Linked DNA regions of Drosophila melanogaster. The protein of the gene in region 1 purifies or fractionates together with the protein of each later gene. This does not show direct contact. Each region holds a gene or a part of one and is shown on either strand. Other genes may lie near its edges. The genes, in order: Atg9 and EndoA.

Region 1 (5,140 bases):
CATAATTCATAAATGTTGCCACAGCTGGCGGGGATCGGCGGTATCTGCATCTGTATCGGTGTCTGCCGGCTTGGGAGATTCATAGGCACGCACTTGGTCGGTCCACTCTGTGCGCCCCGATCTCCTCCAGTCTTTGGTCTCTGCTCGCCGCATTGGCCATCAACACCAATCGCCAAATGGCGTTCGTGTGTGGCAAGTGACACACGAGGCGCTGCAGCACAGCTGGATGCGTTCTCCTCAGCCACTCGCATCTGGATCTCTGGACCAGGTGGATGTGGTGTGCCAACAATGCCTACAAATGGGGACCATCCATCAGTGCTGATGGAGCTGGCATTCCCACATCCCGGAGAGCTAAGATCGGGATAAGCCGTAAAGACATTAAATATAATCTTCACAATGAAAATGGATTTTTTTTATGGTGTCTCCTTTCAGTTGTTGTACACAGGATACACAACGGATAATGCTTAGGATTTACAAGCCATTATAATCAAACCAGGTAAATAGTTTATACATATATATATATGTAAATATGGGTAATGGGTAATCACAACTACTACACACTAATAGATTTAGTTATTATCTAGCGAAATTTCCTTTGAAATAATAAAGCTGATCAATTTGATAATGCATTTATGTTTATTGCTTCTCGTTTAGTTTAGCTTAGTTTCAGATTAGTTTAGCTACGCACTAGACGACGTCGTTCGTTCGTTTACACTTTAAAATTTAGGTTAATCACTAATAGCAGAATGGGTGGTCCTTAGCTCTACAGGTGGTTAGATCCACTCTGGCCGCTGCTATGAGCGGATGCTACCCAAAAGCGGCGTGCTCTCGGCAGCCTTTGAGGTAATCACGGTATGGCGGGAGCCGAAGCCAGTATCAGCCGACGGAGCAGCTGGTGGTCGCGGTGGCCAATGGCTCGTACCAGGACGCTCGTCCTCGGCCTCGTCGATGCGAGACTGGCGCGCTTGGCGCTTCTGCTGGTTCAGCTCGTGCAAATAGAGGGCACTGAGGCACATGTCGGCCACGCCCACATTCAAGGGAGTGCTGCCCACGCGCGGGTCCACACCACAGAGTCCGTAGAGCAGTGTATCCGTCGGACCCTCCAAGCGGCCTTCAGCCCGGCTGAGGCGCAATCGGCGCATGCTGTCCAGCGGGCCGACACTGGCGGACAGATTCTGCTGCAACATCTGGCGGAAGTCGCTGGCTGCGACGGGGAATCCTCCAGATACCGGTCCTAGACCCGGACGCAACGACTGCGAAATCTCCAGTTGCTGGGGCGTCACCTGTGCGGTCAGCACAGAGTTCGCAATGGAACAATAATCCGCTCCCATGGTGCCAAATGAGATGAGGCTGTTGGTCAGCGGGTTCTCCTGCACCATCGACGTCTTGGCCTGGACTAGTTCACCAACGGCGTGCTCTCTAACGCCGCGCAGGAACTGCTTGGCCTCCTTGGGCATCTGCCACTCGGGATTGTTCAGGGTGAAGCGAAGAAGCGACATCTCCGTTTTGCCGCCGGCCAAACTTTGCTGCTGTGGCTCCTGCTGCGGCTGTTGAGCTGTAGCCCGGGTCATCTCCTCCAGTTCGCTGGTTAACTGCCAGTCGGGATTGCCATGCTTGCGAACATCCATCTGGGCAAAGGAGCATACGTTGCCCACTCCTCGCACGGATACGGTGAACGTCCTGAAGAAACGCACCAGCTCTATGGCCTTTGGCCTGAACACAAAGATCAGCACGAAGGGTGTGACGAAGGGACTGAAGATTTCGCTGAGTAGGTAGCCAGCCTTAAACTGAAAGAAGTTGCTAAACTCCTGGCGAACCTTTGTCGTGTGCGCCTGCTGCCGCCACTCGGAGGGCAGGTAGTGAACGTGCGCCAGAATGGCGGTCATTAGCTGCTCTGGGCACCAAACGAGATTCTCATCCGGTATTAGAGTTCTGCAGACCACACCTATGGCGCCGAGCCCTGCAAGGATGGCAAGCAAATGCTCCACCTGGAAGACGTGTTCCTCGTAAATGCCCAATGCAAGGATTAGAAGTAGTAGTCCTCCACTGATAAAGAGTAGGTTTTTGGCTATCACAGCGGCCAGTGGCGAGGAAAAGGAGTTGAGATAGCGGTCCGCGTAGTCATATGCCCGATTCAGCCTGGCATCTAGTTCGTGGTCCAGTTCATTAAAGTGGCGCAGGTAGAGGCGGCCGTAATTGGACCATGTACGCAGGCCAAGGGCACCAGGCTCCTTACGAAGAATGTTCGCATAGGAGAAACTGAAGTAGATAAGTTGCCATACGAAGATCACAGGCGCTAGGACCAAATTTAACAACGCCACCCCCAATATCAGTTTGGAGAGTCGCTGCGCCAGCTCCGTTTGATTGCTTCTTACCGCAAACTCATCACGCAGCTGCCAATTGTTCTGGAAGGGAGATCCAGGGCCGCGAAACAAGATGAAGTCAATGTTGAACAACATACCTCTACTCAGCGAGACCACTTCGCCATACAGCGGTATGTGGAACCTTACAGGCAGCAGTTGCTTGTTCATCAGTGCCACTAGGTAGTTCTTGAAGCGCAGAACTCGGTGATAGATGTCCAATTCCGTAAGCGACTCCTTGTCGATGCACATATGCTGTTCGGCCTGGACGCGACGAATCCGCTGTTGCACCTCGTGCCACGTAAAGTTGTCCAGATCCGAATCCTCGATATGAAGCGCAGAGTTGTAGAATCTCTTTATATCGGCGTACTGGGTAATATGGTACACCATTTTCAGAAGCCTTATGCCCAAATAGATAGCGGCTATGAACACAACCAGGTACGTGACCCAAGTGAAGTTGGCTAAGCACTCGCCTGTGGGGTACATCACATCGGATAAAGTTGTCTTGTTGGGGTTAAGTCCCCCTGGAGGGGTGTCCCCAAAGAGCACGTCAAATCGGACGCAGTGCATCACAAAGGCAAGTAGCCAGACGACGAAACCAAACTCCAGAACCTGTAGCATTTCGTCCACTACAATCACTGTGAATCCGTGCTTCTGCTGGTACTGATACATTCGCGAGAAGAACGAGTCAAGGTCCTCGATGTGGTTCCACCGCGCACGCCCCGTCTCCGGAACCATGTGGATCATGACGCCACTGTTTCGAGGCGTGTCCTCGCCCTCATGCTCGGTGTCGTGCTCATCCAGCGGCTGCTCCAGCCCGTGTTCACCGAGGGGGTCTAAATGCGCAGCAGCTGCGTTCGCTTTTGCGTCTTGTGTTTTGGATGGGCCTTGGCCTGTGGAGGGATGGTGCTCCAGGAACGGACTGGCCGCCTCCTCGGCCAGGGAGCGGTAGTTGATATGTGGGCTAGACATCGCCCAACGTCAAGGTCAACCGTTCTGACTATTTATATCGCTGTATAGTATAAGTTGGAAAATTCTTTGTTGTTTGATTCTGCTGAACCTTCTCAGCAAACAGCTGACTCTCCTAAGAGAAGTGTTGGCCAACGTCAAAATACTGGGTAATGAATAAGTAAGGCGAACCTCTTGCAGCGCCCAATGTGCAGTGTTCACACTGCCAGGGCATCTCTAAATAACACACATTGGAGAATCAAAGGTATCTTATAAAATTAATACTTATAAATAATTAAATTTGCATTTTTCTTGTTATTTGTTTTTATATTCGTTTTTAACTTTTTGAAATACTCGATACTTTTGTTTATGGTACCCGAAGTGTGAACAGCCTAGATATCCATCAACATAAATCTGCACAGAGTTGGCAGTTCTCTCCCGCATTTGTAAACAAACTATTTGTAGCTCTTACTTTATTGCAAATTTAATTTAAAAAAACAAACAGCCAAGATGGGTAAAAGGCAGCATCAAAAGGACAAAATGTAAGTATTTAGCACATCCAGCGAGTTATGGAAATGAAGACTACCCATTGCTTTAACAGGTACCTCACGTACACGGAGTGGAGTGAGCTGTATGGCGGCAAAAAAGTGGAATCCTTGGAGAACGACCATGTCAAGTTCAAGCGGCTGCCATTCGAGCACTGCTGCATTACGATGGCGCCCTACGAGATGCCCTACTGCGATCTACAGGGCAATGTGTTCGAGTACGAGGCCATTCTTAAGTTTCTCAAGACCTTTAAGGTGAACCCCATCACCGGGCAGAAGATGGACTCCAAGTCATTGGTGAAGCTGAACTTCCACAGGAATGCAAACGATGAGTACCACTGCCCCGCCTTGTTCAAGCCCTTCAGCAAGAACTCGCACATCGTGGCGGTGGCCACAACTGGAAATGTATACTGCTGGGAGGCAATCGACCAGCTGAACATTAAGACAAAGAACTGGAAGGATCTGGTGGATGACACGCCATTCCAGCGTAAGGATATCATCACAATACAAGATCCTCAGAAGCTGGAAAAGTACGACATCTCGACCTTCTATCATATTAAGAAGAATCTACGAGTCCTGACGGAAGAAGAGCAGCAAGAGAGAAAGAATCCAGCCAGCGGCCGCATTAAGACCATGAATCTGGAGACCAAGGAGACGCTGGAACAGCTGCAGCAGGACTATCAGCCAGCGGAAGAGGAGGCCTCCACTTCGAAGCGTACAGCTGACAAGTTCAACGCAGCTCACTATTCAACTGGAGCGGTGGCGGCCAGTTTTACGTCTACCGCCATGGTGCCCGTTTCCCAAATAGAGGCGGCTATCATAGATGATGATTTGGTCAAGTACGAGCGGGTAAAAAAGAAGGGCTACGTTCGTTTAAATACGAACCTTGGCCCTCTCAACCTGGAGCTCTTCTGCGATCAAACTCCTCGAGCCTGCGATAACTTCATCAAGCATTGCGCCAATGGTTACTACAATAATGTTATGTTTCACCGGTCCATAAGGAATTTTATTGTAAGTACGATCTCTTTTGAGAGAAACTTTAATTTACTATGGTTTTATCCACAGGTGCAAGGTGGTGATCCCACTGGAAGTGGTTCTGGTGGCGAGTCCATTTGGGGCAAGAAGTTTGAGGACGAGTTTAAGCCGAATCTTACGCACACGGGCCGAGGAGTGCTATCAATGGCCAATTCGGGACCCAACACCAATGGCTCTCAGTTGTAAGTACCACAAAGTGACATTTTTTCAATGCTTTTGCAAGTATACGCTGTTTCGTAGCTTTATCACCTA
Region 2 (6,746 bases), on another chromosome or scaffold:
GTGCTCCAGGAGCAGGGCGTCTACAAGGATCAGCCCGTCTGTCTGACCTTGGGCCACGAGGCGTTGCAGCGGCCCAAGCGCAGGATTCTCGGTCAGTATGAGGAGTATGTGGTCTTCTCGTAGGTCTGACTAAGAGTATTCAATAGATTGGGTGTGTTGTCTTATCGCATGTCCAATGGTTGATAACTCAACCATGCCAATGTTTTTCACTTCACATGCCGTTACAGTTGCGGTCATACAAATAGGAATTGCAAAAGGTAGAAATGATAATATTATATTAATGTATATTCTTATTAAAATAATAAAAAAAAAGTAACATACAATACTTTCAATAATAAACTTTGTTTAACTTTGAAGCGAGCTGCTAATCTTTAAGCATGGCTAATAAAAAGATCAATGTTTTCAAAAGCAATGGTAATCATAAGAATTAAGCATTTGTTTAGAGTATGTACATATGTATGTTCTTTGAACAAATTTCCAAGTTTACATTAAGGGAAAACTTTAATTGCTTTTTACAAACAAACAGATAAAAATATATTGCCTTGATTTTCACCTGCGCAATGCCAAAAAAATAGCCAACAGAATTGGCAAAGAAAGAAGACTGAAGATTCCCCCACTGACTGAATTGGTTGCATCAGCCCAGACTGGCAAACACTCGTGTCCTGGCAGCATGACCTCACCCACTTTTTGGACTGGAGGCGTGGGCATCAGGGGTTGGATGCTGCGTCACGTTTCAATGTCATGCCCACTGGGTCAGTGGGATAGGGGAGGGGAGGGTGTGCTGGCGGCTGCCTGTGTCTGTGTGTGGAAAATCGAAAATTTCAATGCTTCTGTTGTAGTTTATTGGTGGCGCCTCCGGATTCCCACATCGCCCACCACCACCCATTCCCAGCAGCATTCGAGTCTCTGTGTTACACAACAGGCAGCACGTTTTATGGTTTTAAGGTCAGATGGGAAATATCAAAGAGTAAACGACGTTTGCTTGTTTTTTTTTTTGTTGTTTCTCAGTTATGACTTTGAACGAAAGACACATTAAAAATTAAATTTTATTAATTTTGGTTTGCATAAATTAGGGTCTTCAGTTTTAGCATAGTTATTATTATTATGTATATGCCTTGTAATATATATTATTCAAGTTACCGCCCACACAAAAATGCAAAATTACAATAATTATTGTTTGAAGTTCGGGCCCCGCTGCACGTGGGGCAAGTGTGTATCGCGTGGAAAGATAGTCTCCAGGCGATGGGTGGATCCTCCCCAGATGGGGTATCCTCTGGAAATGTTCGCACTGGCAGTCTGTCCGTCCACGAGGCAAATGTTTCATCTTCGCACTCGAATATATAATTCTGTTAAATGTTTTCTTGGCATTTAACAAATTTATTATCAACACAAGTTGCATGGCTTTCAATTCAATGGTTTTCTTCATACGTAAATATATATGTATCTTGTGTATATCATTCCTAAACGTACGAGTATATATATGTATATACATTCGTATGTATATCGTGCATAGCTGTATGCCAACATGAGACTATTTTGAATCATTTTATCGGTTTGCCGTCGAATGTTTATTATTATCTCGTTAAATATATAAATATTTGATCTAGAGTTGCGGTTGGTAAACGCGTTAGTAGGTTCGTAAGTGTTGCTATGCTTCGATTGACTTGACTGGATTTTGCTTACGTTTAAAGTTATTATTATCAACATTTTTGTGGAAATCGTTTAACTAGTATTATGCTTGTTGGTTGGTATTGTTTAGGAGGATTCTGTTACATTTACTTGCCGCTAGTACTTTTTATCTGTTATCATCGTTTAAATATTCATTATATTGTTTACGTTGCTGCTCAGTATAATTTATAATAAATACATAATAATAAATATACATGTAGATAATACGCTTAATAAATATATTTATACATATATTTGATTTCATTTAATATATATATATATAGTTGTTATGTATATAATTAACAAACAAAAAAAACAACACACATAAAAAGGAGCAAAAAGTAGGATACAAATTTCGCTTGTTTCATCCTCGAAAAATTGAATTGAATTATTCTTTACATTGAACAACGAACATCAAGAACGGTATTCCGTATGCCTTTTAGAATAGAGTGTGGGGAGTATTGTTTTTGCACAAATATACGTAGGTAGAGTAGGTATATGTAGGTATTTTCGGGTATATAATAAATATGTATATGCATGTGGGCGGGCGTATGGTGTGGATACGTAGCTTTAGCCTATAAAGGGACATTTGCATAGAGAGCGCATTGGCGTAGGTTGGTTTAAATTACAACGATGAGACCGGATAAAAAGACCTCCGAAAACTGGAGGCTAGAAGAACTCAGGTGGAAAGACAAAAGAGACGCGCCTCCATGGGCGTGATTAAGATTACACGGGTAATTTAGTTAATTAGCTAGAGTGTTTTTCTGTTTGCTTCTGCCGCCGGACCAACTGTTCTAATACGTGATCGATCTATTGTGTGAAGTAGTACTAAATGTTCGCAACTTGCAACGAACAACAAAGCTGACGTTTGAGAATCAAAGGTAAAAACGCAAGGAAGTGGCATTGCGCGCGTAACGTCTTGTAAATTTAGTTAGTTAATACGTACATTAATTTAACTCGTAGTTAATTTGTTAATTATTGTGTTGCCAACTGGTATAATTTTGCACATAAAATTTAGTTAGCTTGCTCTATGGCCACCATGAATTTAGCCTGCTGTGTGCTGCTAGCTAAGCCGTATCGTAATATCCGTAATCGTAGTAACCCGCTCATCTAATTCAACTATATATATATATTTGCATTTATGTGCTGCTGCTGCTGCTTCTGCTGCTCCTGCTTCTGCATCGGCTTGGGCTGCCCAATTTCGCGCCTCTGGTGGCGAAACCAACAATTAAGGTTATTGTTCTCCAATCAGCGATCTACGTACGTCTTCAGCCAGTTTGATAGGATGGGATTGGTTTAGGGATCGGGATTAATACGAGGAACAGGATGAGGAATAGCCTAGTTGCCATTGGGCAGGGGCACCTGCACCTGAACATACGACTGCGGGAAGTAACCGGTGCGGCCATTCACCGCGCCCTCGAACCAATTGTCGTCGACGCGATTCAACAGGGTGATAATGTCGTTCTCCTTGAAGGCCAGTTCGCCGGGATTCTCCGGCTCGAAGTCGTAGAGGGCCTGGCAGCAGGGCTGCTGCTGGCGCTGCGGCGTTACGGCCATCGACTTGGCGGGCGAACGCATCGGCGAGGGCAACGGCGAGGCGCTCGAACTAATGTGAGACGGCGTGCCATCTTCGTTGAGGCCGCCGCCACCGCCGTCCAAGTTCAGATCGAGCAGCGTCTTGGGCACGAACTCGTTGCGTGGCCGGCTCTCCGCCTCGGAGCGCTTCTCCTGCAGTGTCTCCTGCAGGCCTCGAAGGACATCCGCGCATTGCGAATGAAAATCGTATAGTGCCTCGGCAAAGGTGACCAGCTGGGAGACATGCTCCGTATCGTTCTCGAGCAAATTGAACATGCCCACCTGGGCCAGCTGGAGCGATTCACCGAACTTGTCCTCGGCACCACGAATCTCATCGTCCTTGGCCTGTCGGCGACGCTTGCAGTCAAAGTCTAGCCGCCGGCCCTGCAGCTTCTTGCGATGATGCATTACCTCCTTGAGGTCTTTGGTCTGCATATGATGCAGTGGCTCCAAAAAGTTCTGCTTGATGTTGTCGTCCAGCGAATACTTGACGTCGGCCATCTGTTTCAGCGCTTCGCCGAATTCGACGAGCGCCTGCGCGAACACGCTGTTGTCCTCGCCGAGCTTCTTCCCATAAGTCAGCATGCATTCCGCGAGCAGGCCCTCCGGTTGCGGATACGTATTGGACTTGGCCTGTCCGGACAGCTTCGAGATGCCCTTGACCGCTGCCATTTTGGCCCGTGCCGTTGGATTCGGCTGCAGGAACTCCTTCGTCTTTAGCTGCAGCTCCTCCACTAGCTCCACGGTGACGTCCGTCTTGCGTTCCATCTCCATGAAGTCCATGTCCAGTTTGGTGCCCTCGGCACCGCCCATCTTCTCCGTCATATACTGGTTGGCCTTGTTGATCTGCTTTTTGAGTCCGGCGAAAGCCATGGCTGCTGCTGTCTCTTCTGGTTTTCTTCCTCTGATTAAATTGGTCTTGGGGCGCTCGACGCAGTTGCTGTGAACGGGTTGGTTGGGTTAGTCGAGACTCGATTTCAAATTCAATGTCAATATCATCAAGTCAACAATTTCATCAATGGACTGGATGGCTGCCTCACTGACTGCCCGACTGCCTGGCTGGCTGGCTGGCTGGCTGAGTGTGTCTATTTTTAAAACGTTTACGTTTGGAAGACTTACGCGTACTGCACTTTTCTCCGTTCCTTCTCCGCTGGGGGTGCTACTTTCCGGGGCTCTTCTGCTCGCTCAGTGGAGGCTGCGAGTCGGGAAACTCGAATTGGCTTGGTGAACTGTAGCCCGAGTTCGAGTTCTACTTTTGCTGACCACTACTGCGGGCACTTTCACTCGCTTCGCTTGCTCTGCACGTTCTGCCCCGTTTTTTTTTTTGTTGCTCTGCTCGTAATCTTCGATTTTTTCCAGAACCTTGGGCTGCGTAATGTTTGAAGGACCGTGAGTCGTTACTACTACTACTGGTCGCGCACAGGGGGCGGGGGCTGTGGGGTCGCGTTTTCCTCTCGGCTCGCAAAAATCAATATCTTGACTGTGTACAACAATTTTCAACGGCACTAAGCCACTGGAGCTGCGGGACTATCGATAATTCTGTTAAAAAACATTCAGTGTGACCGGTGGTTCGTAAAATACCAAAATCATTCGCATACAACAACGGACATACACGGGATACGCTCATCTCTAGGCATATGTTAAAGATGTGAGGTACAACTTAACATTTTCATTTAATTTCTTTGCAGGGGGGTATTAGATAGTTATATATATATATCAAAACAATATTAAAAATTAAAGTAATATATATATTTTATATTAAGAAGCCAGAAGCACATAAACAGTTAACATAATATCTTACATTTAATATCTAATACTTATAATGTTAATGCATTATAAATTTGAATTTGAAATCTATGTTGATTGGCAGAATTATTAGACTAGAATAAATATGGTCGGTCCCACTGTCGGTCTCTGTATTTGCTCTGTCCTTGTACATGCTGTTAATCGAATAGCTGTTAGATTAGAATAACAGTTTGGCGCGTAAAATTCTAACATTACAATACATAAATATATTATATTGATAGAAAACGTACTCAGCAAAAATAAAGCTGTATAACTGCTGATGAATGTTACGCTAAGATAAAAATGGAATGACTCAGAATGGATAAGAAAATATCATGTTTATCCTGTTTACCAAAATAACTGTGCGCAAAATAACCAGTAGCACAGCAGTCAATTTTATCTTTCTAGAAGGTGGCAAATATATCCCAGGCAAAAATTAAACCCCATTTGCATCGTAAAAACCAGTGACGTTCACAGCATGAAGTAGCAATTTTACCACCTTTTTTTTTTTTATATATTCTGGCTCTATCTGAACAGATAACCCCCGAGAGGTACTTAGCACCACCGAACAAACAATGAACATGTAAATCAGTTCAATCGCAGTAGTAATAGTTGAGATATCAGAGATAAGATCTCCCTGCCGTGTTTTTAATGGCGTATAAAAGCCGCAAGCCGTTGTGCTTTTGGCAATTAGTCTAGACGAAACCCAACGACTGAGAACCAAGTGAACTCAGATAAATTAAAAGAAATGAAATTCGCAATTGTTCTACTGGCGGCCAGCATTGCCTGCATCAGTGCACAGGTGAGGAGTTGTGGATATGGGCCCCCCCATTAAGTGGATTATTATGTAACCGAATTATCATAATTTACTCGTAAGGGCCCTGGAGCTACTGTTGGAAATCCCCTTGCCGGAAATCCCTTTGCCGCCGCCAATCCGTATGCGGCTGCCTTTAATCCCTTCCTAAATGGAATTTTCGGAGGTGCTGGCACAGGAGCTGCCGCCGGTGTAGCCGCTCCCGTGGCACCGTCTGCTCCCTTTGGAGGCGCCTCGATTTCCTCATTCTTCCAGTCGATAGTCCTGCAACGCGAAGCCGAGCGTCTGCTCTCCCAGCCTGACTTTCCCGCCGACCTGGCGGAGCGCGTCCTGGATGTGGTGGCCACCTCGGAGGAGTCGATCAGTGGCTGCAACAACGCCACTTTGCCCTGGCTGCAGATACGCTGTGTCAAGCCTCTGCTGACCACGGCCAAGAACCAGCTGAAGGCCATCGATGACGAGTGGCAGGCCCGTTTGGCCGCCACCGCCAGTCCCACAGGAGCAGCTGCTGCCTAGGATTCTAGTCCTGTCCTCCGGCTGCCTTAGTGTCCAATACTTCCTAGCTTAGCAATCGACCAACATAGATGCAATAAAATTTAAATAAGCCTAATGCCGGAATTTCCTATGCTGGTTTAAGGGGTGCAAAGGTGTGTGTGTGTGTGTGTGTGGTAAGGGGGGGAGGGGGGGGGAGGCCAAAGGACTCCTGACCTAGGACATGCTTTGATGTGGCCGGCCGAGCTTTGCATTCCGCTGCTTTATTAAATTTCCCATCGGGAATTACAAATTTTGGCGTTTGCCTTCTTGACGCTTTTCGGGGCGCAAATACTTGGCTGCTCACGTCACCGTCACGAAAATCCTGGTTCGACCTCGACTAAAAGGATGCTTATGCTTTGGAAAGTTAGTG

What was found.
Region 2: the proteins of Atg9 (region 1) and EndoA purify together in Drosophila melanogaster (affinity purification with western blotting, with the first as the bait; one study listed by BioGRID). This does not show direct contact.

The regions. Positions count from the first base shown.
Region 1 is NT_033778.4:16,292,713-16,297,852, reverse strand, and holds Atg9 (Autophagy-related 9), read right to left. Parts: upstream 3,454-5,140; 5' UTR 3,333-3,453; coding exon 795-3,332; coding exon of another isoform or gene 774-794; 3' UTR 621-773; downstream 1-620. Other genes in the region: CG7747 (uncharacterized protein), read left to right, coding at 3,819-3,850, 3,910-4,864, 4,919-5,070, 5,129-5,140.
Region 2 is NT_033777.3:18,904,637-18,911,382, reverse strand, and holds EndoA (endophilin A), read right to left. Parts: upstream 4,775-6,746; 5' UTR 4,363-4,774; exon of another isoform or gene 4,184-4,362; 5' UTR 4,117-4,183; coding exon 3,007-4,116; 3' UTR 2,933-3,006; exon of another isoform or gene 2,878-2,932; 3' UTR 628-2,877; downstream 1-627. Other genes in the region: Sgsh (N-sulfoglucosamine sulfohydrolase), read left to right, coding at 1-123; CG14292 (uncharacterized protein), read left to right, coding at 5,777-5,830, 5,906-6,358. UniProt on the Drosophila melanogaster protein: Required presynaptically at the neuromuscular junction. Implicated in synaptic vesicle endocytosis.